Tamandua tetradactyla: one gene and its partners. Each later gene encodes a partner of the first gene's protein in a complex. Links are inferred from orthologs where the notes say so. Each region holds a gene or a part of one and is shown in the gene's direction. Other genes may lie near its edges.

Region 1 (7,297 bases):
CAGATGTGGCCTCTCTCGGTCGACACAACAAGCAAACTCACTGCCCTCCCCATCTCTACGTGGGACATGACAACCAGGGGTGTGGACCTTCCTGGCAACATGGGACAGAAATCCTAGAATGAGTTGGAACTCAGCATCAAGGGATTGAGAAAATCTTCTCAACCAAAAGGAAGAAGAGCTAAATGAGACAAAATAAAGTATCAGTGGCTGAGAGATTCCAAATGAGTCGAGAGGTTATCCTGGAGGTTATTCTTATGCATTAAATAGATATCACCTTGTTAGTCAAGATGTAATGGAGAGGCTGGAGGGAACTGCCTGAAAATGTGGAGCTATGCTCTAGTGGCCACGTTTCTTGAAGATAATTGCATGATGATATGGCTGTCGCAGTGTGATTGTGTGGTTATGAGAGCCTTGCGTCTGATGCTCCTTTTGTCTACCTTATTGATGGACAATTAAAACATATGGATTAAAAATAAATAAATAATAGGGGGAACAAATGTTAAAATAAATTTAGCAGATTGAAATGCTGGTGATCAGTGAAGGGGAGAGATAAGGGGTAGGGTATGCATTAATTTTTTTGTTTTATTTTTATTTCTTTTTCTGAATTGATACAGATGTTCTAAGAAATGATCATGATGATGATTATACAACTATGTGATGACAGTGTGAGTTACTGATTATATAACAAGAACTGAATGATCATATAAGAATGTTTGTGTCTGTATGTGGTTATGTATCATAAATAAAAAACAAGTTTAAAAAATTTAAAAAAAAAGAAAGTAAAAAGACGACCCATGGAATGGGAGAAAATATTTGTAAATCTGGTAAGAGACTTGTATACAGAATTTATAAAGAATTCTTACAACTCAACAATAAAAAAACAAATAATCAAATTAAAAAAAAAAATGAGGGGGAAAAAGAGGAAGCCTTTTGGAAAGAGAGACAGAGTCTTGAGAGAGCCACAAGGTCAAGAGCCCAGGTAGCCAGAGACCTCTGGAGATATAGGAAAACACCCCTAGGGGAGCTTCATGAAACAAGAAGCCTGGAGAGAAAGCTAGCAGACATCACCATTTTTGCCATGTGACTTTCCAGTTGAAAGGGAAACCCTGAACTTCATTGGCCTTTCTTGAGTGAAGGCAACCTCTTTTTGGCACCTTAATTTGGACATTCTTATAGATTTGCTTTAATTTGGACATTTCCACAGCCTTAGAATTGTAAACTAACAACTTATTAAACTCCCCCTTTTAAAAGCCATTCTGTTTCTGGTAATTGCATTTCAGCACCTAGCAAACTAAACAACCTGTATTACAAAGGTTAAGTGATTATCATATCTTGTATTCCATTGCTTGAAAATTTGTCACAATTTCTTTTCTTTCTTATTATTTAAATTTCTGCATATTACTCTCAATTTTGCCTACTAACCTACAAAACATAAAATATTTACCATCTGGGGTGGGTCACGGTGGCTCAGCAGGCAAGAATGCTTGCCTGCCATGCCAGAGGACCCGGTTCAATTCCCGGTGCCTGCCCATGTAAAAAAAAATTAAATTAAAAATAAAAAAAATTTTAAAAAAATATTTACCATCTGGCCCTTTCTGAAGTTCGCTTTTCTGTACCCGCAGTAACATGCTGCAAGTGGTAACACCAGGAATTAAACCCAAGCAATCTGTCTGCAGGGTCTGTGCTAAAAAGGCACATTCACTTCCTTACCCATGACCCCATCTGTGACCCCAGTATTTCATCCCCAAACAAGTGACTTACGTGCCTGTAGAATCTACTGTCACAGCCCGGACCCCACCACGGTGACAAAGAATCTTAGCCAGTGGTTCCTTCATGGCTGGACTCCATAAGGACACAGTACCTGAAAGTCACAGGAGCACAGCTAAAGTTACAGGTGAGGCGCTGAGGTTATTAAATCTAGGAAAAGTGGATACTCAAACCAAGAAGTACAAGACAAAAAGGTAAAAGTACAAGTTAAGGGACTTGTCAAGTATAAATACAGAAGAAAAACAAGTGAGAATAGCCAGAGTCAAAGCTAAGCCACGGACTGACCATTGCTGTGTCCAAGATGAATGATGGCATTGTAAGGGTTCTGAGTCATGATGTCAAGCCGTCCAGCCCGAGCATTTAAAGCTGCCACTATCTTCCCCACTGACACATCCAGGTAGGTCAGAAACCCTGTTTCTGACTGTAAAAGAGAGAAAGAATAACTGGTCCTGATTGCGCTCTGTCTTCCCCCAACCCCAGTCCCAAATGGGGCAGGATCCTGTCAAGGGCTGCCAACCCGGTTCTTATGCTCCAGCCACTCACAGCTGTGGCCAGTAGGAAGTGGAAGGGCAGGAACTCAAGCCGTGTGACGCGGTCACAGCGGCGGATGCAGTGGAGCTCGATGCCCTGGTTATCATAGATGTGAAGCCAGCGGTTCTGAGCAACAGCAAGCAGTGCCTCCGAGTGCAAAAATCTGATAGGTGATTCAGTGGGAAAACAGATCACAGACTGTCATTAAAAAAGGAATGGGGCTCTGGCACTGAGGGATTGACAATGCCTTCTGGACTAAAAGAGGAAAAAGAAATTTAACAAAATAAGGCATCAATGGCTAAGAGAGTTCAAATGGAGTCAAGAGGCTATTCTGGAGGCTACGCTTATGTAAGCCTCAGTGAGATAGTGCTCATTGTCATGGTCTGCCATACCCCAACAAACATCATTCCTATTAACCCTAAAGAACACTTAGGACTAGAGGGTTCGTAGGCCAGATAAGTCCTGAAACCCAGAGGGGTCAGCCTTCCAGAATGTCAACTAGTTCCATCCCCCTCCCATATTATCAACAGCCCCTTCCCACATGAAAAAGTTAGAATGGGCATAGCCCAAATACCCCTAAACATTGGGAGAAAGATCAAGGGAGAGAAAGAGTTATAACAGAAAAGATAGGCTTTAACAATGAGTACGATTGCTGAGTCACTATAATGATATTTATTTTAGCTTCCAGTGTTTTAAAGCAGCTAGAAGGAAAAACCTGAAAATGGGGAATTGCAACCTATACCAAACTTTGAAATCTGTTCTTCAAAGTTAAAACGTGCTTTGAAAATTATGGCTTTTTTTATAATTATTGTATATTTTACAGTAAAAAATGTTTTAAAAAACTTTTTAGAGGGATGGGGTGTCTCAGTCCCCATAAGCACTTATAGGAGGTCACTAACCGGATGTCCCGCACAGCCTCCATGACATTGATCTCACACATGAGCTTCTTTGTCACCCAGTCAAGGGCAGCCACATGACCCCGACGACCTCCGAAAGCCAAGTGTCTATTAGAAATGGGGAACAGGCAGGGTGTCAGTGTAGGAAAACACTGTGACTCAGACAATTCGAGGTCTGCCCCCAGGCCAGCTCTTCCTCTCCAAGTGAGAGGACAGATGTTGTTCAAGAGGGTCCACTCATATCTAGGCAAATCACAGGATCCTCCCTTCATCAACAACCCCAACATACACTGGATTGTTTGCTGAGGTGGGCACAACTGCAGTTTAGCAGACACTACCACATCTCAGTTCAAGAGTCCCTGGAATTCAACATTACCTCCCAGTTCGAGAGTAGTTCAGCCTATAGGGTCCAAACTGCCGCAGATTCAAGTCAAAGTGCTGCAAAGAGGAAGAGTTAAAAAATAAAATAAAATAAAATAAAAAGTCAACAGAGAACTAGCTCATTTCATCAACTCCCTCTTCTATTTCTCATATCCCTCTTGCTCTGAACAACCAATCAGTTTTGTGGCCCCTGCCCCAGGCTCAGGCTAACCTTGGCTGCACTGGCAATGTCCACAGCCTCCACAATGTCAGCCTGACGTATCTTGGCCGTGTCTTCTCCATCTTCCCCTTCCAGAAACCTGCAAAAAGGGTTATTGCAAAAAAAATCTTCTTAAGATGAAGCGGACATACCCACATAGAAATGAGAAAGAGGAGCCCCATAAAGCAAGGGCTGGGAATGCCCAGATCAGGGTCTACTCACCCAGGCTCCTCAGCAAGCAGCAGCTCAGAACGAGCAGCTCTGACACTTGCTTCCTCTTCTTCAGCTTCAGCGACCTCAAGTCTGTTTCGGGTTTTGGATTTAGCATGTAGTAACTATATCATTGGGAGAGCAAGGGTTGGGGGCAAAAAAATAGTGGACATGTGGAGGGGGTCACAGGAGAATCACCTGGCCCCACCTCCATCCAACCTCCCTGTCTCCAACCCCTCCCCACTCCCCGGCTAAGTCTCACCTTTTTGGATCTGTCAATACGACGGAACTTCTGGGTCGCTTCCACAGGGACGGGAGAAGGGCCTGGGAATGGGTCCTGGGCCTGGAGTAAAAAGGAGGAGACTAGCTAACAAGCTCGAGTTGACCTCAACCTTCGCACTCTCAAGGCACAAGATGCCTTGCCCTGCCACCCTATCAGGCCTCAGTCTCACCCCAGACAAGCTCCGTTCAGGCTCCGGATTCCTCCGAACCCGAGGCTTCTTGGTGACCCGAGACTTCTTTAGAATATGAGTCTTCTTTGGCTTCTGGGGGCGGAGATCCCTCTTTCTCTTCTTGCGACGAGGGGGCCCTGGAGAAACTCCGGCAGTAGTCGAAGCCACGTCTTCTCCCTCCCAGTATCGCCGAGGTTTCTGCCGGCAGATCAGAGGCCCTAAGGCTCCGCTGCCCGCTTCCCCGACCCGCCCCCTCCATCCCCTCCATCACCCCGCAATTAAACACTTTCCTTCCCGCCCCAAGGGGGTCTCTACCTTCTTCTGGACCTGAATTTTGTTCTTGTTGGGCGGAACATCCCCACCCGGCTTGGGGGCCGTCTCCATCAAGACCACAATGTTGATGACCCACGTGCAAACTCGGTTCAGCCGTCCCACTGTAGGCTTAGAAACTCCCGGAAGTCCTCTGGCCTTCACCCAATCAGGGCCGCGTCAGGTCTGAGGCCCTCTCGGCGCCATGTTGAAAGAGGGCGCCCTTTCTCCTGATGGGCGGGGCAGGCCTTGGCACCGCCTTCCAGAACAGCGGCTTTTGCCAGAGTAATGATGCCCTTGCGAAAGAAAAAGAGCCAAATCCAGGGCCAGAGCCGAAGTAACGGTGTAGTTTGGTTTCCAGGCTTTGTTTTCCCATCTTTTCCAAATCCTTCCGAGTGCGGACTTTTTAGGAGTGCGCTAGCGTTAAACGTGTCAGGACTACATTTCCCGGCTTGAATCAGAAGGCCACTTCCGGCACGCTCTTGACGCGGGTTGCCACAATTACTTCCGGGTTTAGTAATACTGAAGGGAGAACGTGAGTAGGGCAGGGCTTGGGCTGAGGGGTTTGGGGCTCTCATCTCTCCATAGCCCCTGCCCCGGGGCCTGGGTAGAACCGATATCCCAACCGGGAGAAACTGCGGTTTCCCGGCGGGCTGTCTCTCAAAAGTGCTGTAGTTTCCTCCGACCAGGCCAGCAAGGGGAGCTCGGGTGCCTTTCGGCGTGTGAAACCTAGTGCCCCTCTCCTGCTCCCCTCAGGTCTTCGACCCAGCTATGGCTGAGCTGATCCAAAAGAAACTACAGGGAGAAGTGGAGAAATATCAACAGCTACAGAAGGGTAAGGGAGCAGGGTTGGTGTGGCCCCGCCCCAATCCCTTCACTCACCCACAACCCAAAGCCATAATGAAGGTAAAGTCTTCTGTCCCACCGGGCCCCGCGTGCAGCCTCTTCCCTACCTCATTACTATCCTCCACCCGCTGACCCACGGCTCCCATCCTTGTCTACTTCGTCTGTTCTCTTCTGATTTTGGTTGTGGGGGGCGGGTAACACATTTGATGTCTCTAATCACATCTTTCCTCCCACCCCACCCCTCAGACTTGAGTAAGTCCATGTCAGGGCGACAGAAACTTGAGGCACAGCTGACAGAAAATAATATCGTGAAGGAGGTGAGGGCTTGGGATTTTGTGGGGTGAGGAGGGACCTGTTCTGACGGTGGTTCTGATGGTATATGTCCACTCCTTCAGGAACTGGCCCTGCTGGATGGATCCAACGTGGTCTTTAAACTTCTTGGTCCTGTGTTGGTCAAACAAGAGCTCGGGGAGGCCCAAGCCACAGTAGGGAAGAGGCTGGACTATATTACCGCTGAAATGTGAGTCTTTGCTTCACTTCCCTGTAATGTAACCAGTACCATTAGAGTAGAGTTGTTTTGGAAACACTGTAGAGCAGCTTTCCATAGAGGTGCCCAGTTGTCCAATTTTCTCATCCCGCTCCTCCCCTAGTTCTCAGCTTTTCCACCAATCTCTTTCTTGCCTTCAGCACCATCGCTACTAAGTCCCACTAATTTCTCATTTTCTGATCTTAGTTTCCTTTGTCTCCCTCAGTAAACGATATGAATCCCAACTCCGAGACCTTGAGCGGCAGTCAGAGCAACAGAGGGAGACGCTTGCTCAGCTGCAGCAGGAGTTCCAGCGGGCCCAGGCAGCAAAGGCAGGGGCTCCTGAGAAGGCCTGACCTCTTGGTGGGGGGGAGGGGAGGGGAGGGAGTGAGGCAGCTCTAGGATCTATACTGTAACTAATAAAATGTGAAAATACTGGCTCTGTTTTCTGACAATCTACTTCTGTCATGATTCTCTCCATCCGTTTTTCCACCCCTTCCACCTTGTACAACACCTGCAGTACTCCTGTAGGTCCAGATTCTAGAGTCTGTGTGGCAGGGTATCCTTTTGTCATTAAAGTCAGGAATGTCTTAAGCAAACGTGCATTTTGTCTGTATATACAACCCTGAACTCTCCCTTATCTTGGTTGACACAACTGTTTTGAAAACATAGGAATGGCATTTGTAATGCAGCTATTGTTGGGAATACCAATTTAGTTGAAGAAGTCGTGGTTATCTTAATCTGAGACCCCAAGGTGAACTGCAGTTACCCTCCTTCTAGTGAACCCTTGTCATCCTCTAAATTGCCCTGGCATCTCTTTTAGATCTTTTCAACCTCTGTGTTCCCAGAATTTACTGGAATGTAGTTTGAGCTAATTTAAAATTCCAGCACAAAATGCCTTACAGTATTATAATTCCTCTAAGCTGTGCAATGTCCACAATTTTTTTTTTTTTTTTACAAATTATAGCTAAGGGAGTTCCTGATACTGAGTGCTTTAATTTGATGACTACTACTTGACCTGGGTCTGATACCTGAGGAAGAAAACTTTAAAAGCAATAAAGGGAATGGGAATGGAGATGTTGCTGGAGAGGAATAAACCATTCTGAGGAATCCATTTAACCAACACTTCACTCTTAGTTCTTCAAGGGGATTGAAAACATCAGGCCCCTTCCTGTTCCAT
Region 2 (7,740 bases), on another chromosome or scaffold:
TTCAAGGAGATAATGTAACACCAACTTGGGACAGGAGTCTACTACTTGAAAGGTGGGTTCTGGTTAATCTTTGTCTTTAACAGACATTAACAGATATTAGGACATCATTATAAAACAGCATGAGCTGGGAAAATTAATCCGGCACTGGTATAGAGTATGGATTTGAGGAAAAAGAGACCAAGCAACAAAGCAAAGGAAATAAGGACACAAGAAGTGTTGGCAAGAAACAATAAAAACCTGAGAGCAGCTATGGGAACAAATAGTCATTATGTCAAGTTTCACAACATTTTAAACTTTACCAACTATTTAGAGTGGTGTCTCTCTGTTTTGTTCCCTCATCATAGTCTATCAAGAGAGATGAGTCTTCTGCTGATTTGAAAGGAAGTATGCCCCCTAGAAAAGCCATGTTCTAATCAAAATATCATTTCGTAAAGGTAGAATAATCTCTATTCAACATGGTATGTTTGAAACTGTAATCAGATCATCTCACTGGATGATGTGATTTAGTCAAGAATGGTTGTTAAACTAGATTAGGGGATGACATGTCTCCACCCATTTGGGTGGGTCTTGATTGGTTTACTGGAGTCCTATAAAAGAGGAAATATTTTGGAGAATGAGAGATTCAGAAAGAGCAGAGAATGCTGCAGCACCATGAAGCAGAGAGTCCACCAGCCAACGACCTTTGGAGATGAAGAAGGAAAATGCCTCCCGGGTAGCTTCATGAAACAGGAAGCCAGGAGAGAAAGCTAGCAGATGATGCCATGTTCACCATGTGCCCTTCCAGCTGAGAGAGAAGCCCTGAACTTCATTGGCCTTCTTGAACCAAGGTATCTTTCCCTGGATGCCTTTGACTGGACATTCTATAGACTTGTTTTAATTGGACATTTTCTCGGCCTTAGAACTGTAAACTAGCAACTTATTAAATTTCCCTTTTTAAAAGCCATCCTGTCTCTGGCATATGGCATTCCGGCAGCTAGCAAACTAGAACAAGTCTATACTAATCATAATGAAGGCATAAGAATCCTCAAAAAAGAAGATATAATTAATTTTGGTCATCAATTCTGATACAAAATAGGTACCCAGAAAAAGAGGCCCAGAGTCAATTAATTTTAAATGCCTAACTCTTGGACTGACACCATAGAATGAACATATGTTTATTTATATTTATTCTCAAGAGAATACATTTTATTTCCAAGAAAACAGCATTTATATAGTGCCTAAACTGATGCATCCAGTACCTAAATGACTGCTTATACCAATGTATGTTATTCACATATTTTTGCTCAGGACTACCCTCTCCTCACAGCCCTTTCTCAACTCAATTCAATACTATAAAACATATGCACAATCAGGGAGAACAAATGAATATCATTGCCAAGGGTTGAAAATGGATGATATATAAGAAAAGGTACAATCAATTCAAGCTACGATCTATAGTTAACGGTAACACTGTAATAAGCTTTCACTGAATGTAAGAAAGGCATTACGCCAAAACTAAATGTCAACAGTGAGGGGCATAGGGGTGGAGTACGGATTCTGTGGCAACAAAAAGGAAATGTCTTCATATAGATTATGGTGGCAAAGGCATGTCTATCTACTTAGACTGGATTGTATGATGTGCAAATAAAATTGTTTAAAAATGAACAGAGAAAAACAAGTGCTAGAGAAAATGTGGACAAAGAAATGTACCTCTTCACCGCTGGTAGGGAAGCTGAGAAGTGCAGCTTTTTTGGAGGGCAGTGTGATGGTTTCATAGGAGGCTAGGGGTGGGGTTGCTATATGATCTTAGAGAAACTGAGTGTGGGGACATGGATGGACATTTGCACACTGGTGTTTATGGAGGCAGTGTTCGGCATTTGTGATGCATGGAGATGGCCTAAGGATACAACAAATGAGGAATGGAAGGATGGACTGTGGTGTTTATATACAACAGACAACTGAGGACTACTGAGCGCTGCAAGAAGAAATGAAGTTGTGAGGCATGCAACTAGGTGAATGAATCTTAAGGACAGTATGTCAAATAAAATGTCAGAAACAAAAAGGCAAATATTATCATGCCTCACTCTTACGGATGAACAAATACAGAGAACTGAAGTTGAGAGCACAGATTATCAGGTTGGGGCCTATTGCAAAGGTTCCTAGATTGTAAACTCTTAAAGCAGTCACATGTATTTCGGAGCTGTAACTGATATTTTTAAATTTTCAGATACTGAGCTATTTGTATATAACCTGGTCATACCCTGAAACTCTGGGTATTTATGTGATACCTGAGAGAGAGAGCACTGAAGTTATGAAAGTCATTACCCCATTCGGCAACTGTGAAAAAAGAGATCAGACTTTGTCTAGAGATACGAATGAAGCTGATCTGGATAGGACTAAGGTAAACAGAATACTGGGTAAAGGATGATATGGCCCATATTTTCAAATTTCAACCTCTGTGTGAGACCAAAGGGAGAGATTTTTATTTGGTACAAAATTTGTGTTTTGGGTAGCATATCAACTAATTAAAATTTTATGGTCAGTTTACTTGAACACCATAATTACATGGAATCTTGAATAGGGTGTTGGAAGATCTTGCTGGTTTGCACAGGTTAGTGTGATACCTGGATATATCCCAGAGTAAATTGGGCAGAGAATAAAAAAGTATTTGCAGAACAGGCCACTGTGGCTCAGCAGGCACAGTCCTCACCTATAGACAAGCTGGAGACCTGGGTTCAATTCCTGGTGCCTGCCCATGCAAAAAAAAAAAAAAGTATTGGGGAGAAAGCAGGAAATACTTAACATCCCCCTCTGGGGAATTTCTGCAGTGGAGACAAATAATTCAATAAGCTGAGCTCTCAATCTTAGGGCTTGCCCCTATGAAGCTTATTTCTGCAAAGGAGAAGCTAAGCCTACTGAGAATTATACCTAAGTCAATTCGGCAGGTGAACTCAATGTCCTCCCCGCTATGTGGGACATAATTCCCAGGGATGTAAATCTCCCTGGCAACACGGGACCTGACTTCCAGGGATGAGCAAGGATCCAGCATCAATAGAATGAGAAAGGCTTCTTGACCAAAAGGGGGAAGAGTGAAACGAGACAAAATAAAATCTCAGAGGCTAAGAGATTTCAAGCAGAGTTGAGAGGTTATCCTGGAGGTTATTCTTATGCATTATACAGATACCCCTTCTAGTTCATGGTGTATTCAAGTGGTTAGAGAGAAGTATCTGAAATTGTTGAACAGTGTTTCAGTAGCCTTGATTCTTGGAGAAGACTGTATAACTACATAACTTTTACCATGTGACTGTGTAATTGTAAAAGCCTTGCGTGTGACGCTCCTTTTATCCAGGGTATGGACAGATGAGTAAAAAAATAAGGATAAAAATAAACAACTACGGGTAGTTAAAGGGTAAAAACTGGGTACACTGAAATACTGTGGGTCAAAGAGAGGGAGAGGTAAGGGGTACAGGATGTAGGAGCTATCTTATGTTTTTATTTCTTTTTTTGGAGTGATGCAAATGTTCTAAAAATGACCATGGTAATGAATACACAACTATATATCATATATTGCATAATACGGTTGGCCTATATGTGTATGGATATTTCTCAATAAAAATATTAAAACTAGAGGAAAACCACTTAAAGTAAGTTCTATTAAGAAAAGTCTATTCATCCTTGATTCCTGTAGGAGAAACCCTAGTCTATTTGTAAATAATTGACATTCTCCTTACCCTGATTTCTACATTCCTCGATTTCAAATTAAAGCGTATCTGAAGTCCCAAATGCTCTACAACAGGCGTAAATATCTTCATCCAGTTTTCTTTTAACGGCGTATATCTGTTAGCTGGTACTGGAATTTTCCTAGTTTCTTCTTTTCCACCCTACAATGAAAGAACACACAACTCAGGAGTCGTCTGGAGGGTGAGAATGGAGTTGTAAAATGACAGATGATTCACAAAAATCTTTTAACCGAACGAGTTAAACTTCGGCAGTCATTTCTCTACGAGGAGCTCTCACACCAGAAGAGCCCCCGCAGCTTCAACATCACCCACAGGCCACCGGCTTCACCGGCCACTGGCCGCAGCCTCGCTCCAGTCCCACAGCCCCCTCCAGTACCAGGAGCCCGTCCCCAGAGAGGGGCGGGAAGACGGGCCTCTTCGCGGGCCGGGACTCCTCTGTGTCCATGCGTCCCGGGTCCCCGCCGTCCTCCGCCACAGAAAGCTGCTCAGCCTGTCGTTTCTTCACCCGCCGGCCACTCTTGCGGGTGACCTGGGTGAAGCCATTCTCCACCCCAGCGCTCTGTGCCTCCATCTTGGTTTCCACCCTCAGATATGTGCAGGGCAGGCAGGCTGTTCCAGTTGAAACACGTGCGCCGCCCCACTGCGCAGGCGTACCTCCGAGGATCCAGCCACTGCCGACCAGGCCTAAGGCTCCACCCCCTGCCTTAAGAAGGCCCACGTAGAGGACCTGAAGCGGTATTTTTTTTTGAAGGACCTATCCTAAAATATGCCTAATTCTTAATGCCCACACTACTGCTGCATAACCTACAGCCAAAATACCTTGTAGTATCTAATATGTATATGTGCGAACGTCAGTAAGTAACGACGATAAACAAGTTAATGCCGTTGGTGAAAGAGAATCTTGTGTGATCTCGGTAGCACATCTGGCATTTTGTTGGATAACTAAATCCAACTTCCTAGGACGTTAGGGAGCGAGGTACGGCAAGCGGGGGGGGACAAACTAGTTAAGTTTGGCGTCTGCCAGCCAGGTTAGTTTTTTCTTAAGAGTCGGGGGTGGCCGTTGCTGTAAGTGAAATCTGCTCGGCCATGTCGGCCTTTGAGAAGCCTCAGATCATCTCTCACATCCAGAAAAGCCTCAACTACACGGTGTTTGACTGTAAATGGGTGCCCTGCAGCGCCAAATTTGTGACGCTGGGCAACTTCCCACGGGGTACCGGCGTCATTCAGCTGTACGAGATCCAGCACGGAGACCTGAAGCTGCTTCGGGAGGTGGGTGCCGGGTGGAGACTGCCCAGGTCTGCCCTTGGGGGGCGAGTGCCGATCCTGAGGTCTGCATCCCTCTTTGCTTAAAGCCTTCGTCCAGCGTCCCCCCAAAATACAGCTCGAGCTGCGCGGGACTTGCGAAGCTAACCGCAGACTGAGGAATGCTTCAGTGTTAAAATTCTTTCGTTCGAGTCCTGAATTCTCATCCGCGGGCCATTTCATCCGCGCCCTGCAGGCCCCTTCTTCCAGCACCCTCGGCGCAGTCCAGCGCGAGGCCTCTGGGAAGCGAAGTTAGGAATTCTTGTATAAGTTCGAGGCCTTAAGGGGCATTTGGCAGTTGTTCTGGAGAGTCCGTTGCGAAGCCCTTGTTAGTATATTGCTTTTTCATACAAGCATAGCCACAGCGGCCCCTTCCCCCAGGAAGCCTACAGTAGTTGAAGCATTCAACCTAACACATCTATTCATTCTTTCAACAAGTATTAATTGATTATCTGGTATCCGCCGGCAAGTGATTAGCAAGGTCCTCGATCTCATGGAGTTTCTTTTCTAGTGAGGGTGATAATCGGTTAAATAATCAAAGATGCATAAAATGCAACGGTTTTATGAAAGTAAAAACAGATTTGGGACAAGTAGAAGTTGTTAATAGGCCAAACTGGGAGTGGAAAAGGAGGTTTTCAGAAGAAACAGAAGCCCAGTGGTGGGAGAGAGTTTTAAGAAGCAAAAGAAGGTCGCAGGGACCAGACCTTGCAATATTTATAGGCCATTTAAAGGATTTATGCCTTTACTCTTAAGAGAAATGGGACATCAAGCAGAATGTGGCAAAATCAGATTCATATGTTTTGTAATGAATACTAGTGAAAGAATTAGAGAATAATGGTGGATAACAAATTTTTATCACTCTTTGCAAATTAAAAAATGACGATTTGGATTGCCTGAAAAAAGTGATCAGGTATAATCAGGTGGTTAGGGTTCTATACAAAGGCAGTAAAGATTGAGAACTCCATGGATACTTGGAAGAGATGGGGGTTCAACCTATATTAAAGTATGAACACAATTTAGATAGGCAAGGTTAGATTAGAAGATATATAAGGCTCCATCCACGTTAAATTTCTGTAATTGCCTGTGTTATTGTTCAGTTTGTCTTCTCAAGCCAGGCAGTCTATTTAGAATGCCTAGGCATGGCCTGTACTTTTCCACCTTTGCTTATGTTGTTTACCATTTGGTCTTCAGTCACCTGTTGCTATTGTAACATTCAATTCCGATTACATGACTTAAAAGGAAACTTTTCCTGAGCGTCACACGAATGAACTTTCCTTTTTGTTGTTTTCCTAAAGTACGTTTTATGTGTGCCAGGAATATATGTTCTGTCCTTTTTATCTCTAGATTGTAAGCTCCTAAGGAGTAAGGTCAGTGTCTTCTTAAGTGTGGTTTGTAAGAGGTAGCCACTCAATAAATATTTGTTAAAAGAATGAGTGAATGTATGTCTGTAAATAGGATATAACTTGGGAAATTTCCAATATTGGTTTATTAAATATTGTTCGGGGTTGAACAAATGGGAAGCATTGGAATAGCAGAGAAAAACATAAAGCTGAAGTTTTAGGAACAGATGCCAGTTGAAGCTGAACCACAGAGAATCTGCAGACTTCTGCTTTTCAATAAGAAAATTTGTACACATTTCAGAAATACACTTACTCATAGATTGAAATACCGCTCTTTCTTTTTTGTAGAGATTGTAGAGAATTCTAGCAAATTTGTTTTGTTTGTTTTTTAGCAAGCTTGCTTTATAACAAGAGTAAAATATGTTCGTGATAGGATATTTAGAAAATATAGATAGGATTAAGCAGAAATTTAATGTTACCCACAATCTCAACCACAAAAATAGCCACTTTTAAATTTCACCTGTATCCTTAGAGGTCTTTTTTTCTACCATAAACTATCCATAGAGAATCTGCTAATCCAAGACACAGTTAGTTCTAAGGAACGACCAAAGGTATTTGAAAGATGACCCCCTTCCTCTAAGGAGCCTAGAGGCTCAAAAGATGGTAAAACATAACAAAAACACAGCTAAGAACTTACGTTGAATTTGGCATGTTAGTCCAATGGAAAAGAATATGGGTGAAATACAGTCTCGGTGATTCTCGACCCTCACTGCACATCAGGCCCACCTGAACGTGTTTTGTTGCTGTGGTTTTTGTATTTTAAAGTTTTCATGCCTTGGTCCCCGCCCCTCCTAGAAATTCTGCCTCAGTGAATCTAGACTAGATGGAGGCCTGGACGTCAGTCTTTTTTAAGCTCCTCCCAAGGGATTTTAATGAGTACCAGAGGTGAAAACCATTGGGATCAATGAATATTTTATAAATATAGTATGAAACATACTTGATTTGATTATTGAGGAACTTCCTCCAATCATTTGCTCAAAGGCCCATGAATAAGAGATAAAAACGTGAAGAAAGCCATCAGTCTTTTATTGACATCTTCCTTTTCTTGTTGGTAAGAGGGTAAATAGGGACTAGAGAGCAGGGCTTTCACATATGGGTGAGCAGTTTGCTTCTCCAAGTGGGGTTGAAATTCATCCCTTTGCCCAACATCAAGTCCTAAATGTGTGAAACTTCATCAGCCTATGAGGGACAACTTTTTTGATTGGTTCAAAGGTACCATATGGCCTAGTGGTGGCCCTCAAAGATGGGATCATGCTAATGGATGTTTATACTATAAAAATTAGTAATAAACTAATAAAATGCTGCCTTTTTTTAGCCCC
Region 3 (7,656 bases), on another chromosome or scaffold:
TGAGTTCCCCAAGCCGTGGTGGCCGGCACCCCTCCCTCACAGGCTGCTTCCCAGAGGGAAAAGGAAAGAGACTTTACCAGCAGCAGGGGCTGAGCCCAACCAAACACGAATTGTGGCATTAATTAATAAATTCTGACTACTAATAATAGGCCCACAGCTCAGGTGAACCTGGTCAAAGCAGAGGTCGCTCATTTTTGCCCTGGTGCCAAGGGGGCAGGGCTGACCGAAAAAGAAAAAAAAAAAAGGAAACAGAGGTTTTTGTGGCTGTGTATCTACAAAAGCTTGACTGCCTTTGGATATAGCAGCAGGACTTCTCAGGCTGCAACTGCCCCAGCCATAGGCAGAAGTGAGCTCTTTTGGGGGCTTGTCTGGAGCCTGTGCCTTCCCCAGGGGAGGGGTGAAGCCCAACTCAGGTGGAATCCCTCCCTCAAGGAATTCAGACACCAGGGCTTGGTAATTTGAAGCCATTAAAACCAGACTCCAACCTCTCCTCTGTCTCCACCACGTCCCCAGCCAAAGTTAAAGGTACTGCATCATCTAATGGTGGTGGGACCTGCAGGCAGACAAGCATCACATACTGGGCAGGATAAGAAAAACAGAGCCCAGAGACTTCACAGAAAAGTCTTTCAACCTGCTGGGTCTCATCCTCAGGGAAAACCGATGCAGGTGACTCTTTCCTCCTGATAGGAGGCCAGTTTGGTCTGGGAAAATCCACTTGGGGTCTATAATACCTACAAAAACCCTCCTGGGGTAGGGGGGGAGGCACCATACAAGCAGGGCAAGAAACAAGAAAACAAGAACTGAAAAATTCTCCTCTTTTAAACAAAACCTAAGCTAGAGGTCCAGAAAAAGCTGAATTGAATGTCAAAGAACAGAGAGACAACAAATTCATCCAGCAAGAAAACCCTAGGTAAAAGAAGTGAAAGCAATCTCCAGAATAAACTAATTAAGGTAATTAAATGCTTAGATGCCAGCAAAAAATAACAAATCACACTAGGAAAATTGAAGATATGGCCCAGTCAAAGGAACAAACCAACAATTCAAAGGACATACAGGAGCTGACACAATTAATTCAGAATATACGAACAGACATGGAAAACCTCATCAAAAACCAAATCAATGAATTGAGGGAGGATATAAAGAAGGCAAGGAATGAACAAAAAGAAGAAATCAAAAGTCTGAAAAAACAAATCACAGAGCTTATGGGAATGAAAGGCACAGTAGAAGAGATGGAAAAAAAACAATGGAAACCTACAATGGTAGATTTCAAGAGGCAGAACATAGGATTAGTGAACTGGAGGATGGAACATCTGAAATCCGACAAGAAAAAGTAAATATAGGTAAAAAATGGAAAAATATGAGCAGGGACTCAGGGAATTGAAGGGCAATATGAAGCACACAAATATACGTGTTGTGGGTATCCCAGAAGGAGAAAAGAAGGGAAAAGGAGGAGAAAAACTAATGGAGGAAATTATCACTGAAAATTTCCCAACTCTTATGAAAGACTTAAAATTACAGATCCAAGAAGTGCAGCGTACCCCAAAGAGAATAGATCCAAATAGATGTACTCCAAGACACTTACAAATCAGAATGTCAGAGGTCAAAGAGAAAGAGAGAATCTTGAAAGCAGCAAGAGAAAAGCAATCCATCACATACAAGGGAAGCCCAATAAGACTATGCACAGATCTCTCAACAGAAACCATGGAGGTGAGAAGACAGTGGGATGATATATTTTAATTATTAAAAGAGAAAAACTGCCAACCAAGAATTCTATATTCAGAAAAATTGTCCTTCAAAAATGAGGGAGAAATTAAAACATTCTCAGACAAAAAGTCACTGAGAGAATTTGTGACCAAGAGACCAGCTCTGCAAGAAATACTAAAGGGAGCACTAGAGACAGATACGAAGACAGAAGAGAGAGGTGTGGAGAAGAGTGTGGTAAGAAAGACTATGAGTAAAGGTAAAAAGAAGGAAGATTAGATAGGACATATAAATCCAGAAGGCAAAATAGTAGAAGAAAGTACTACCTGTGCAGTAATAACACTAAATGTTAATGGATTAAACTCCCCAATCAAAAGACATAGACTGGCAGAACGGATTAAAAAACAGGACCCATCTATATGCTGTCTCTACTCAAAGGACACGAGGCCAAGGACACAAACAGACATTTACACACCAATGTTTATAGCAGCATTATTAACAATTACCAAGAGATGGAAACAGCCAAAATGTCCATCAACAGACAGGTGGCTAAACAAACTGTGGTATATACATACGATGGAATATTATGCAGCTGTAAGACAGAATAAAGTTATGAAGTATGTAACAACATGGATGCACCTTAAGGACATAATGCTGAGTGTGATTAGCCAGAAACAAAAGGACAAATACTGTATGGTCTCACTGATATGATCTGACATGATGAATAAACTTGGAGAATTTAATTGGTAACAGAGACCATCAGGAGATAGAAATAGGGTAAGATATTGGGTAATTGGAGCTGAAGGGATACAGATTGTGCAACAGGACTGAATGTAAAAACTCAGAAATGGACAGCACAATACTACCTAACTGTAATACAATTATGTTAAAACACTGAATGAAGCTGTATGTGAGAATGATAGAGAGAGGAGGGCTGGGAGCATAAATGAAATCACAAAGAAAGATAGATGATAAAGATTGAGATGGTATAATCTAGGAATGCCTAGAGTGTATAATGATAGTGACTAAATGTACAAATACTAAAAAATGTTTTTGCATGAGGAAGAACAAAGGAATGTCATTACTGCAGTGTGCTGAAAATAGATGGTAATTAATATTTTAAAATTTCAACTTATGTGTGAGACTAAAGCAAAAAATGTTTATTTGGTACAAAATTTATATTTTGACTAGTGCATTTCCTAATATAACTTATGTAGATAGCTTGGTTGAACAACATAAGTACATGGAACCTTGGGTAGGACATGAGATTTTGTTGGTTTGTCTATAGTGATGCCCTGATGAATCCCAGAGTGATTTGATCAGTGAGCGGGAAAGTATTTGCAAAGTCCCCTTTGGGGAATGGTGAGAACAGGGGAAAATTCAATCTCCTCAAGTTGAATTCTTGATATTCTCACAAGCAGTGTGGACAACCAAAGCTATCAGCTGAGCCCCCAGTCTTGGGGTTTGTTCATATGAAACTTAACCCCACAAAGGATAGGTCAAGCCTACTTAAAATTAGGCTTAAGAGTCACCCCCAAGAGAACCTCTTTTGTTGCTCAGATGTGGCCTCTCTCTCCAGCCAACACAACAAGCAAACTCACCACCCTCCCCCTGTCTACATGGGACATGACTCCCAGGGGTGTGGACCTTCCTGGCAACGTGAGACAGAAATCCTGGAATGAGCTGAGACTCAGCATCAAGGGATTGAGAAAAACCCTAGAATGAGCTGAGACCCAGCATCGAGGGATTGGTAAAACCCTCTCCACCAAAAGGGGGAAGAATGAAATGAGACAAAGTGTCAATGGCTGAGAGATTCCAAACAGAACAGAGAAGTTATCCTGGAGGTTGTTCTTCTGCATTAAGTAGATATCACCTTGTTATCCAAGAGGAAATGGAGAGGCTGGCGGGAACCACCTGAAAATGTAGAGCTGTGTTCCAGTAGCCATGTTTCTTGATGATGATTGTATAATGATATAGCTTTCCCAATGTGACTGTGTGATTGTGAAAACCTTGTGTCTGATATCTACCTTGTCGACAGATGAGTAGAACATATGGAATAAAAATAAATAATAAGGGGAACAAATGTTAAAATAAATTTGGTTTGAAATGCTAGTGATCAATGAAAGGGAGGGGTAAGGGGTATGGTATGTATAATTTTTTTTGTTTTTATTTTTCTGTTGTCTTTTTATTTCTTTTTCTGAATTGATGCAAATGTTCTAAGAAATGATCATGATGATGAATATGCAACTATGTGATGATATTGTTAATTACTGATTATATATGTAGAATGGAATGATCACACACACAAAAAAGCCACAATGCCACTCGGGGTTCCTTGGTGTTGCTCAAACAGGAGAAGAATGATTCACGTTTCTCTGAAGCCCTTATCATTGCCTGCCGTAGCATATAATTTTTGTCGGCGGCGTTTCCAAGGAGGATGAAGTTCCATGAGGGAAAGGGCTTCGTTTTGTTCACTGCTCACCCAGAATACCAGTATCTGCCACTAAAGGACGCACTTAAGAAATATCTGAAAAGAGAGAAACGGGGTCAACACCCAGCTGCGAAAGGCACTCAAGGAGCCTACGAGGCGAGCTCCAGCCCCGCCCCCACGTGATGCCCCGCCCCGCACTAGCAAGCGGGCCTACGCGCTGACGCGCGTGCGCAGAAGCGAGCCTGCGCAGGAGCCTGCGCACCGGCGACCCTCCTTTCATTGCGCCTGCGCGCTGGAAGGCCTGTCTGAGGGATCCTTAGGCCGCACATTCCGAACGGAGCCAGAAGGAGTTCACAGCTGCGTTGCTGCGGACCTGGAGATGGCGGGCGCCGTGCTGTCACCGGAGGCGGAGCGGGTGTTGCAGTACCTGGTCGAGGTGGAGGAGCTCGCCGAGGAAGTGATGGCGGACAAGCGGCAGGTGGGAGGCCCGTCCGTGGCGTTGGGACCTGGGGGAGATAATTGGGGCCTGGCGGCGAGCGCCGTATACAGAGCCGTGTGGGGCCGGCATCTAGCTCTACCACGGGTTCGCTGTGAGTTGACCTGGACTGGTGATCTAGGGTGCCCCACACCAGTCAAGGCCTTAAGGAGAGACGAGGAACAGAAGAGAGGCTTGAGTGGCCTTCTGACAAAGGGCCCTGTGGACCTGCTTAGGGAGTTCGTAAGCGGTGGGGGTAGGTCGCAACTGGATTTAGGTTTTAAAAGGAGCCCTCTGGCTGCAGTGAATATAGAATATATGGAATATAGAGGGGCAAAGGTGGAGGCAGGAAGAAGCGAGGGACCATTGCTATGGTCCAGGCAGAGGTGGGTTTGGACCAGAGTGCTGGTGATGGAGAGAAGTGAAAGGGTGGGAAATATAAATTGGAGATGGACTCAGTAGGACAGGATGGTGTTTACATATAGAGGTGAGTGAATGGGAGGCAGGGCCAAAATGACATGAGTCTCTCTCATCTCCCTTTAGAATGATTGGATGGTTGGCCATTATTTACTGAGAAGAGGAAGACTTGGGGAAGAGCCTGATAAATTAAATACTGTATCACCATGTGGATGATAATAGCAGAAGTTAAAGTTTATTAAGGGCCTACTATATATCAGGCACTGTACTAACTAACTCATTTAGTTCCTGGTTCAGTAACCTGTGAGGTTGGTACTTTCACATCTCCGTTTTTCAGAGAAGGAAACAGCACTGGTAGGGAACAGCAGGATTCAAATCCAGGTATTCTGGCTCCAGAGCCAGTGGTCACAAGCAGCCTTCTGTACTGCCTCCTCGCTTCTGTAGCAGCTCTTATGCTGTTACCGTCTCAGTGCCTCCACCCCTGTTGTCCAAGTCTGGCATTGTTGGATTTTTGCATGTTAGGTCAGAGTCAGCTATTAGAGCTTGTTCAAAAGTAGATTCTTGGACCTGCTTCATCCTAGTGTCTAGGAGACAGGTTTGTGCATGAGCATTTTAAACATGTTCCCCTAGTGATTCTGACATACAGTTTGAGAGCTGATGTTCCAGTGGATGGTACAAATTATCCATTTAGTCAGCAGACATTTCCCAGCAACTTCTCAGGGGAAGATATGTGCTTACAGTATTGTCTTTAAGAACCGGGAAGCTGAGTGGGAGAAGAAACATGTTCACACATCAGTATCACACAGGTTGTTGAAAGAAACCAAGGAATGACGTCTTACCATCTCTCTAGCCCCTGGTCTGTTGGGACGTGACAGGGTTGGAACAAGAGGTGGCTAAGTAGCCCCTTGCCCCTGCTTTTTAGATTGTGGACCTGGATACTAAAAGGAATCAGAACCGCGAAGCCCTGAGGGCCCTGCAGAAGGATCTTAGCGTCTCTGGTAAGTTGCAGTTTCCTCATTGTGGTCCTGGAGGTCAGTTCGGTTTTCCTTGTAAGGTCCTTGCCTTATCCATGATAGAGACCAGGCAGGAGGCCACAGACATATGATTCTTCAGCTTTATGGGGAATTAATACAGGCCGTGAGGATAGGGGAGAAAATGTTACAGGGTCTGACACAGACTGGAGCTCGGGATTTCAGCTGCTTTTCTTAGTGACAAGCTGTTGGCTCCTGACTCAGTGATGGCAGACACTCCCAGAAGTGCTGGGAACGTATTAAAATGATGTGGTTCCTGCCTTTGTGCACTAACACGTGAGTAAAACCACATAAAATACACAATAGACAATTGTGAGAAAGTAAAGAAAGGAATTGGACATGGGTTAGATGTTGAGAAAATCCGCAAGGGATTGAGGGTTAAAGAGATTGGGTTAGAGTGGCTGTGGTAGAATAAGCAAGGGGAAAGGGACATGAGATGAGAGACTAGACAGATGGGCGGAGGCCAGCTGTAACGAAGGGTGTTGGGGCCAAGGGAAGAAGTTTGAGTTTTGTTTAAAGTGCAGCAGAAAGTATAAAACCTTCTAGTTGTGCCTCATAAAAGTAAAGTCTAGAGTCCTGCAAGGCCTCACATAGTCCAGCCCCCAAGATCTAACATCATCTCTACACTCCCCCTCACTCATTGACTCCAACCATACTAGACTCCCTGCTGTTCCTGTTCCCTTTGCAGGTTCACTCTTCCCCCGTATGTGTGCAGGGCTCACACCCTCACTTCCTTTGGGTCTCTGGCCAGATATCACATAATCAGTGAGGCCTTCTCAGACCACACAGTATAAGTATCAAGTCCCTTCTCTACTCTGGCATTTCCTATACCTCTTACCCCGCTTCATTTTTTTCTACAGCACTTATAAGAGCCTTTTCTTTTTCCTTCACTATGACATAAGCTATTTGAGGACAAGAATGTTGTCAGGTTCTCCTGTTTTTAGCATGTAAAAAACATGGCAGGTAGTAGGTGCTCAAAAAATACTTGTTGAAGAAATGACCATTTGCCATTTCAGAAGATGTGATGGTTTGCTTCGGGAGTATGTTTATCAAGATGTCTCACCCTCAGACGAAAGAAATGATTGAGAAAGGTAAGATGTCCTGGGGATGGGTCAGGAACATAGCTGCCCTCCTGTCAGTCTTGGTTGTAGCCCAGAATTGAAGAGTCAGGCTCTGGGCAGCTTAATGGGAGGCAGCTGTGTTACAGGTTCAGCCTGATATAGGTTGCCTTTTTAAAAAACTTTTTAAACTTTTCATTTTGAAAAACTTTCAAACTTACAGGAAAATTACAAAATTAACATAAACCCCATACAGAGTACATCATACCACCACCCTCTTAGATTCCCAGATCTCCCTAACATTTTGTCAGATTTGCCATATCATTTTGTCAATTTGTCTACCAATCCATTTTCTGAACACTCAAGTGTAGATAGTATATATCATGCTCCTTGAATACTTAGTACTTCATATACATTTCCAAAGAACAAGAATATTCACTTATGCAACCACCTCAAATGCAGTTAACAAATTCAGTAAATGTAACATTGTTATAAAGCTTACAGTCTTTTTTTCATGTCTTTCATTTGTTCCAATACTGTCTT
Region 4 (8,116 bases), on another chromosome or scaffold:
ATCTTACTTCAATCAGAAAGGATTTACTTTCCAGTGCTAGCCCAGAAGTTGGAGAGTCATTTACTCCCCTTTAGGTACCAAGACTAGCTTTACCCACTTTGTTACCAGGACTAAGTTTCTACCTCGTCCCCCCAACACCTATGTGATAAAGACTCTGTAGTCCACCTACAAGATATTAGAACCCCACTGAGAAACAACAGTCCAGTTTCCTGGGCTCTGTCACTTGAGAGAACTCCTGAAGAAAATAACCTACTTATATTGCAATATCATCTCTTCCTTGATTTCAACTTTTTGTTGTTTGGGTCTAGAACCCACCCTCAATCCCACCCCACACAATTTTCAACACTGCTTGCTTGCTGAGACTACCCTTTATCTGACAGGCTAGGCTTCATAAAAGCACCCGTGGCTTGGTCTGTCCCTCTTCAAATGTGTTTCAGTGCCTATGCCACCAGAATTAAATGGGTTTACTATGCCATCAGAATTAAAATGACCATCCAATCATTGTGACAATCAAAAGTGCCTTCACATTATTTTCCAAAGCATCATCTATGTACAGCACTAGCCTTGTTGAGAATCACTGGAAGTTGTTGAGGACCTGTCATCAACGAGAAATGCACCAAGCTGTGTCAAAGTCAACTGGGGGAACTTCTGATTTATCTATTTACTATGTATTAAATAGTGCTTACTCTGAACCTGAAACTGTTATAAACACCCTAAAAACATTAACTCATTTAATCCTCATAACAGTCCTTCGAAGTGGGCACTATTATTACTCCTATTATACAGATAGACAACTGGGTCTTGAATGATTAAGTGATTTACTCAGGGTCATACAGCTGACAAATAAAGAAACCAAGATTCAAACCCAAGTATTTTTATTGCATAGTAAATGGAAAGCAGTAGGCTATGCTGCAGACATCAGATCCCATCTCCAAAGATTTTGATTCAGTAGATCATAGATAAAAACAGAGAAATTTGTATGTAATTTAATAAGACTTTCAGGTGATTTTATATAATAAGAAAGGCATTCACCTACTGACTGGCATATGAGAACCTCTGCTCTATACCACATCTCCTTTGGCTAGAGACAAATTTCTCTGTTGGAGTAGAATGAGAAAGCAAGGATGAACAGTGGGTGGAGGGCTAATTCACAGAGACTCTCGGAAGTCAGGCTAATACATGTCACTTTTATAAAATAGTCAAGAGAAATTTTTTTTTTTTTTTTTTTTTTTTTTAAACATTTTCTTGTTTTATTGTATTTTGTTTTTCCGTTTTTTGTTACATGGGCTGGGGCCGGGAATCGAACCGAGGTCCTCCGGCATAGCAGGCAAGCACTTTGCCCGCTGAGCCACCGCGGCCCGCCCAAGAGAAATTTTTAAACAGAATTAAATATATTAAAAATGTAGCATCAGAGGAAGAGTAGAAATAAAACTAATAAACATGAAATTAATAGAAGGACCTATGACAGCAATGGTCCTAAGTGAGAGACACATGAAAGAACAGCCTAGCTAGTTGTGTATTGAGCTGTGGATAGGAATCCTGAACCAGTCATGACAAATGACACCAACTAACCCTAAAGCGTGACTTCATGTGATAGAAGAGTTACAGTAGCTGAGAAGAAAATAGCAGCAATCAGATAAACTCGGGAAAATAAAACAAAATGTAAAGTCACTCTAAAAAGAGTTTAGCATCATACTAATATAATTGTTACTACTTTGATTAGATTTGTGTCATCTCTGTGAATAAATGGAAACATCAGAAGCAGGCAGCGCCATAAGCAACAACTCACACCAAAAAGGGGACTAGAACAGCTGCACATCAAATAGCTGTGTTCCTGGTCACTCGGTATTGACATGATTGTGGGTCAAAGAGTCAATTCAAACATTAACCAGAGTTCCTGCTCTGCCAAGCATTGCAATGGAAGGTGGGGTACAGAGAAAACTCATCTCATACACTAGGACACTCATTCTTTTCAGCTTTACAGATAAGCATCACCATTACCTCCAAAACACTAGTTAAAATGGCATCCCACGTGTCAGGAAGGTTCATTTCTTGGTTCTTCCCAGTTTAATCATAATGAACCCTAAAGAATTTAGGGTGTAGAATCGGGAGATGGATTAAGAGAGAGAATGCCAGATTTTAGGGTTTTTTCCATTAATATTATTTTTTAGCAGTAAAGGTTTTTAAAAATAAAAATTGAATGGACTTTTCCAAAATTTAATGTATTTCATAGTTTTTCCTCAGAGACAGGTATTACAAATCAAGGCAAATAAAATTTCCTTTCATCAAACCTTCTCCAACTTGCTTATGCTCATTCGAATTTTGTCTTTCAACTGTGCTCTTATTCTGGAACAAACTGATGCTTCACATTAGGCAAAACTACTCTCATCACTGTAAGTCAAGACTTCATCCCATTACTCTGAATTCTCTGTTACTCTAAGCTCTAGTTGTAGCCTTAACCAGCCATATTAATTATAACTTTTAATCAATTTAATAACTTCTATTTCACAGAGAGAGGTAAAGGTAGATAATTGAGAACTGCCTTATACAGGCATTTTAGCAGACAAGCAAAGCTCATAAATACACATAAAACAACTGTCTGTAGTCACACACACCTTCTTAAAATGGCAAAAATGAGCACAACATTAACATGACCCAAAACTAAAGCCACTCTATTGCACATAAAAACAAGAAGCAATAGTATATAAATTTTAAATTAACTTAGTAATTAATGTTTCAGTATTCTGTTTTTGAAATTCTTACTATCTAGTGATTACTCATTAACTCATTTTAATAATATTTCAGAGTTTCAAGCTACCTTAAGAACTCAAAATCGTGTTTAAACTGACATAGTACAAAACATAATTGCTGTTGATAGAAAAACGTTTGTTAGAAGACTTATTCATTTTAGTTAAATATAAGTACACATTTTTAATAATCTTAAACATAATATTGGAGTAATGCTCGTTTATTTGATCAGTAGGCCTGTATCAGAAGTTTAGGAAATTTAAGTTAACTAACATCTTCATGAGAAAACAAATCTAAATCTCTTGAAACATGCATCTGTGCTTTACTTAATATTGACAAATCAGAGAAAAGAAATGTAGTTGCTTTTTCTTTCAAAATTAAAATTATTAAACCAGTCTGGTTTGTCCAAAGATTCACCTTAATTATTTGAACTTAGATTCTTTGAAGGTTTCTGACCTGGAAGCTTTTTTTTTGTGGAGTGGGGTGTGTGTGTGCGCATGGTCTGGGAATTAAACCCAGGTCTTTCGCACGGAAGGTGAGTATTCTATCGAACCACCCGTGCACCCACCTGGAAGTTTTTGTAACAAGAACATTTTTCTTCTTAAATATTTAAGGTGTTAGAAGTTCAGTTTTTTATTTTCTGTTACTTTGGGGACTAACATAAGTGCATATTTATTTCTATAAACCAATAGGACAGAGCTCCTTTGAGACATTATCAATTACCCCAGGAGAGGAAAACATTTTATATTCACAAAATGAGATAATGTTTTGCTAAATTTTAGACACACAGACACAAAGAGAATTTATATCTTCAGCTTTACAAACTCAAACTTGGGTAAAAAAATAAACACAGACCAAGTTTTGGCACAAAAAAACCCCACAGCAACACAAAGAAGTATGAAAATTCACCAGCCCAGATCACAAACAACTGTTCTTCTCCCCAGTGGGCACAAAATTCTTAATTAATTTGAGCTTGCACAGACAAATTAAACAAAAAGACTAACAAACTGGATCCTCTGTGATCTCTTTTCTACTAGAGAACAGATCACAATCATCCAGCTGTTATCACTAAATTGTCAGACCACAAAACCCAGCTGTCAATGTGGAGTAATTTATCAGCCATGCACAAATGAGAATGAAAAACAGAATTTTAAAAATAAGTAGAAAGAAAAAATCATAAAGTGGTTCTGTAACCACTTGGGATTTACTCTAAAAGCCAACAAGAGACATGCCTGGACTTAACCCATGAGGCGCACATCTTGAGTGATGCCCTTTATTTGACTCCATCAAGTGAGTCCACTTGGGCATCTCTGTGAAACTGAGAACTTTCGATGTTAAATATAATTTTCGAAACTAAAATCTTGTCCCTCCTGCAAGTATAAAATGAACAGATATAAAGTTTTATTTAACTCATTTGTTAACGAGAAAACTAAAAAGATGTTATAACAAGTTTAAAGAGCATTTGAAAAACTATATATATTAATAAAGAAATGCTAAAATAAGATTACAGGGCTATATACAAAGCTAATTATTTTACATAACAATAAATCATAACCTATTATGTCCATCAAGCACAAGTTACTTTCATGGATAAAAATCTACAAATTAATCTCTGCCCTTACAGAATTGTTAAGCAGTTCCGTCAAACCCGGAACAGCACAAAAAGAACACTCAGTAATTTATATTTGCTTATTTCCAAGTTTTGGATAATTTTTCTCGCAGGAATGAAATACTGGAAATACTGCATTGGGCATATACATAAAATTATTCGTTTATCTGAGATTCAAATTTAACTGGGAATTCCATATTTAATCTGGTAACCCTACTAATAAGTTAATAAAAACTTTATCAAGTTTGTTCATTTCCACCGTCAATTCTGTGACCCTTATATCTGTCCCTCAATTACCCTATTAGGTAACAAATGGTAAATGAATTTCTTCTGCACTGCTATTTTTATATTTACCACTGGGCGACGCTTATAACTCGCAGTGTACTGGGCGCAAGCAGAGACCACAAACGCGTTTCTCCATCCCATCCGCTAGGGGACCCTCTAGGAACTTCTCAGGATTCACAACCAGGCTGGCTCGCGCGTACCAACGCAGTTGGGCGCACGCGCAGTACTACTCCCAGGCCAAACGGAACTGCGCAGGCCTTCCGATGAGTGCGCAGACGCCGTCGGAGGGGTTCACGGGAAACGGAAGGGGGGAGGTGGAGCCGCTGAATCGCGCACGCGCTCAGACGGTGGGGTGCCGGGGCTCTAGCCGAGTTGGTCATTTTGAGGCTCGGCCTTTTGGTGGAGATGCCCAGCCGGGGGACGTTCCCGGATGACCGTGCTAGAGTGGTACCAGACACCTCGACCCCGCACAAAGAGGAGCTTAGCTGCAAGGTCAGTGTGGGACGCAACGAGAAGGCCCCCGAACTCAGGACTAGGTGCCGCCGAACCCTGAAAATAGTCCGTCGCGGACCTTTGGCGCCTTGCTCAGGCGGAAACCCCCGGTTCCGTTTAGTTAGTCCGTACCGGGCAGCACGGAATTTCATCCAGCCTCGGCTTTGCCCACTGTTCTGCTCTTTTTATTCATAGCATTTTACAGCTTCAGTTAATCCTTCCCTTTCCTTAAAACAGTTGCGGCAAAGGATACTCTGAAACACGCCCTAGAGTTATAGCTAGATGGAAGAGAGGTGGATATTTTGTTTGGTTTTCTCTTTCCTTTAAGTACCGCCCACCCCAGATCTGATCCGCCTCCAGTAATCTCCATCCCAGGAAATGTCACCAACATCCACCCCGTTGTCTATGCCAGGTAACTTGGGAACCATCACGAAGTCATCTGTTCTACCTCTGAAGCTCATTTTATGTATTTCTTTCAAGATCTGTACCGTTACCAACCCAGATTAGCCACCATTATCTGTCATCAGAGATGCCTACAAAGGCTTCATAGCCGGTTTCTTCCCATCGTTATACCTTTTAAAATCTCCACTGGTAGCCAGCGGAATAACCCCTAAAATACATATCTGATTGTCACTCATCCATCAAAATGGTGGATGGTGGGGAGTTCAGTATATATTTTTTTAAAAAACGAAAAGCTTTTGTGCCATAAACAAAATTTTCAAAGAATATATGGGGAAGAGGGGTGGCTATAGCTTTTCAGGTGCTAAATGTCCTAGATTCTACTGCGGGTCTGTCTCTAACAATGAGCAAGCTTCTTTAATCACCTGGATTCATGATTTCCATGTTAGAAGTAAAGTGAAATGTAACCTGCCATTCCTAAAATTCAGTGTTCAAACGTAAGGTATTGTTAATACGTATTCATTTCAAAGAGGTAATATGAATTCAGGCTTGGAGTTCAACCTAACCAGGCAGTTACTAGATCTGTGACTGGAGACACAAGGATGCACACGTGGAGGGAAGTTGGGAAGGGGTGGCTTTTCCAAACTATGTTACTACCAGAGTGAGCCACTTAGACTGATGCATGGCAGATCCTTCAAGTGTGAGGTAAGAAAAAAGATGGTCAAAGGGGCTCTTAGAGGTGCTAGTGATACTTTTTAGTCAGTTATGTTGACAAAATAAGTTTCTGAAAAAAGTTGGGAAAAACTAAATTTTCCCTTAGTAGAACCTTCTACTAATAAAAGAGAAGCCTAGTTCAGCAAGGCCAGTTTGAACTGTCCAATCTTTCAGATACACAGATGGATAAACCACCACTGGGAGTAGGTCTCATTGCCACAGTAGGGCGTTTAGTACTACTTGTTTGTTCTGAATGTCTGACGGAATCAATTCGTGCATAAATTATAAAGTGCTAGTAACTGAAAAAAAAGAAGTGGTCCACCCTCATTCCACTTGCTGTTTTATTTTAAGAAGGTAAAGCACAACTTAAAAATAATTAATTTAAAGAGTGATATCATTTCTGGTGAGTATCATATTTTTTTAAATAGTAGTCGTAAACTTTGTTTAGTAACTGTAGCAGTTCGGACCTCCCCACCCAACCCCACAGTCACCCTGTGACTGGGTGCAATGGGTTTGACAAGTCCAGTTGCTACTTTCTCCTTCAACTTTACCCCAACTCCACTACCTCACAGAAGGCTGTTGGATAGAAGTTGTGTATTCGCAGATAACTGATTTTGACCGTCAATACTTAATATTCCCTTATCCATCTCTCTAATTTTAAAAGTCAGTAAAGGAGCCTCATTGAACATGCTTTGTGAACCTCTGCTTAAAGGAGTTTTTCTTTATTTCAATAGATAAAAGAACAAAAAGTTATTGTGGATGAACTTTCTAACTTGAAGAAGAACAGGGTGAGTAATTAGGTAATTATGAATAGTATATGGGAAGGTTTATTTATGTTTAAATTAACTATATTATTTGTATTCCTGTTAATGTATGATATATGTCTTATTTATATTAAAATTTGCAAGAGTGCAATAGCTTTTAGCTAATAAATTGCAAAAGTGAAAATGGTTCAAATTATGAAGAGTTCAAGATTATTTTAATATGTATTTACATACCTCTATTTTTTTATGTTAAATTTTATAGGTATCAAATAATTGAGCATGGCTTTTCCCCATATGGACCAAACAATACTAGTTGTACTTTGGTATGGTGTAGTTGCAATCATTAATGGTATTTATTTATAGTTTTTATGATTTTTATTAAAGCCCATGGTTTAACTCATGGTTCACTGTGTTAGTGTAGTTCCTTGAATTTTGTTTTTAATTTTTTATTCTATTACCATATATACAATCTTAACATTTCCTCTTTAAGTCATATTCAGATATATATTTCAGTGCTGTTACTTGTGATTCACAATGTTGTGCCATATATTGCCAAAACATTTCCATCATTTCAACCCTGTACATTTGTAAGTCTAATTTCCCATTCCCAATCCCTATGCCATTCCCTGGTAACCTATATTCTAGTTTCTATGAGTTTGCTTATTCTAATGGTTTCAAAACAGTGAGATCACACAGTATTTGCCCTTTTGTGTTTTTTGTGTCTGGCTTATGTCACTCAGCATCTATGTCCTTTATCGTGTTGGGAAAGTTTCCTTCTAAGTGTTCTAAGTGTTTTTATCAAGAAAGTACACTGTATTTTGTCAAATGCCTTGTCTATGTCAATTGAAATGATCATGTGGTTTTCTTCCTTTATTCATTAGTATGGTTTATTACAATAACTGATTTTCTTATGCTGGACCACCCTTGCATACGTGGCATAAAGCCCACTTGATTACAGTGTATGATTCTTTTAATATAATGTTGAGTTGATTTTGCTAATATATTACTGATTTTTGCATCTATGTTCATAAGAGATATCAGTCTATAGTTCTCTCTTTTCTTGTATCTTTATCTGGCTTTGATATGAGAGCGATACTGGCCTCAT

Evidence for each region.
Region 2: PFDN6 (region 1) and DNAAF10 share a complex: the UniProt entries of both Homo sapiens proteins name them as parts of the PAQosome complex. The link is inferred for Tamandua tetradactyla from reciprocal best matches to the Homo sapiens genes PFDN6 and DNAAF10.
Region 3: PFDN6 (region 1) and PDRG1 share a complex: the UniProt entries of both Homo sapiens proteins name them as parts of the PAQosome complex. The link is inferred for Tamandua tetradactyla from reciprocal best matches to the Homo sapiens genes PFDN6 and PDRG1.
Region 4: PFDN6 (region 1) and ASDURF share a complex: the UniProt entries of both Homo sapiens proteins name them as parts of the PAQosome complex. The link is inferred for Tamandua tetradactyla from reciprocal best matches to the Homo sapiens genes PFDN6 and ASDURF.

What each region holds. Positions count from the first base shown.
Region 1 is NC_135331.1:89,218,767-89,226,063, forward strand, and holds PFDN6 (prefoldin subunit 6), read left to right. Parts: upstream 1-4,963; 5' UTR 4,964-5,280; intron 5,281-5,501; 5' UTR 5,502-5,516; coding exon 5,517-5,580; intron 5,581-5,837; coding exon 5,838-5,908; intron 5,909-5,986; coding exon 5,987-6,111; intron 6,112-6,343; coding exon 6,344-6,473; 3' UTR 6,474-6,726; downstream 6,727-7,297. Other genes in the region: WDR46 (WD repeat-containing protein 46), read right to left, coding at 1,762-1,861, 2,053-2,188, 2,311-2,461, 3,198-3,302, 3,571-3,632, 3,787-3,874, 3,997-4,109, 4,247-4,327 and 2 more. UniProt on the Homo sapiens protein: Binds specifically to cytosolic chaperonin (c-CPN) and transfers target proteins to it. Binds to nascent polypeptide chain and promotes folding in an environment in which there are many competing pathways for nonnative proteins.
Region 2 is NC_135343.1:41,450,305-41,458,044, reverse strand, and holds the start of DNAAF10 (dynein axonemal assembly factor 10), read left to right. Parts: upstream 1-4,470; 5' UTR 4,471-4,805; coding exon 4,806-4,988; intron 4,989-7,740. Other genes in the region: RNA-binding protein PNO1, read right to left, coding at 3,711-3,860, 4,096-4,290. UniProt on the Homo sapiens protein: Key assembly factor specifically required for the stability of axonemal dynein heavy chains in cytoplasm.
Region 3 is NC_135327.1:21,176,510-21,184,165, forward strand, and holds the start of PDRG1 (p53 and DNA damage-regulated protein 1), read left to right. Parts: upstream 1-4,384; 5' UTR 4,385-4,511; coding exon 4,512-4,610; intron 4,611-5,946; coding exon 5,947-6,022; intron 6,023-7,071; coding exon 7,072-7,146; intron 7,147-7,656. UniProt on the Homo sapiens protein: May play a role in chaperone-mediated protein folding.
Region 4 is NC_135329.1:163,382,237-163,390,352, forward strand, and holds the start of ASDURF (ASDURF protein), read left to right. Parts: upstream 1-4,928; 5' UTR 4,929-5,047; coding exon 5,048-5,134; intron 5,135-6,981; coding exon 6,982-7,035; intron 7,036-8,116.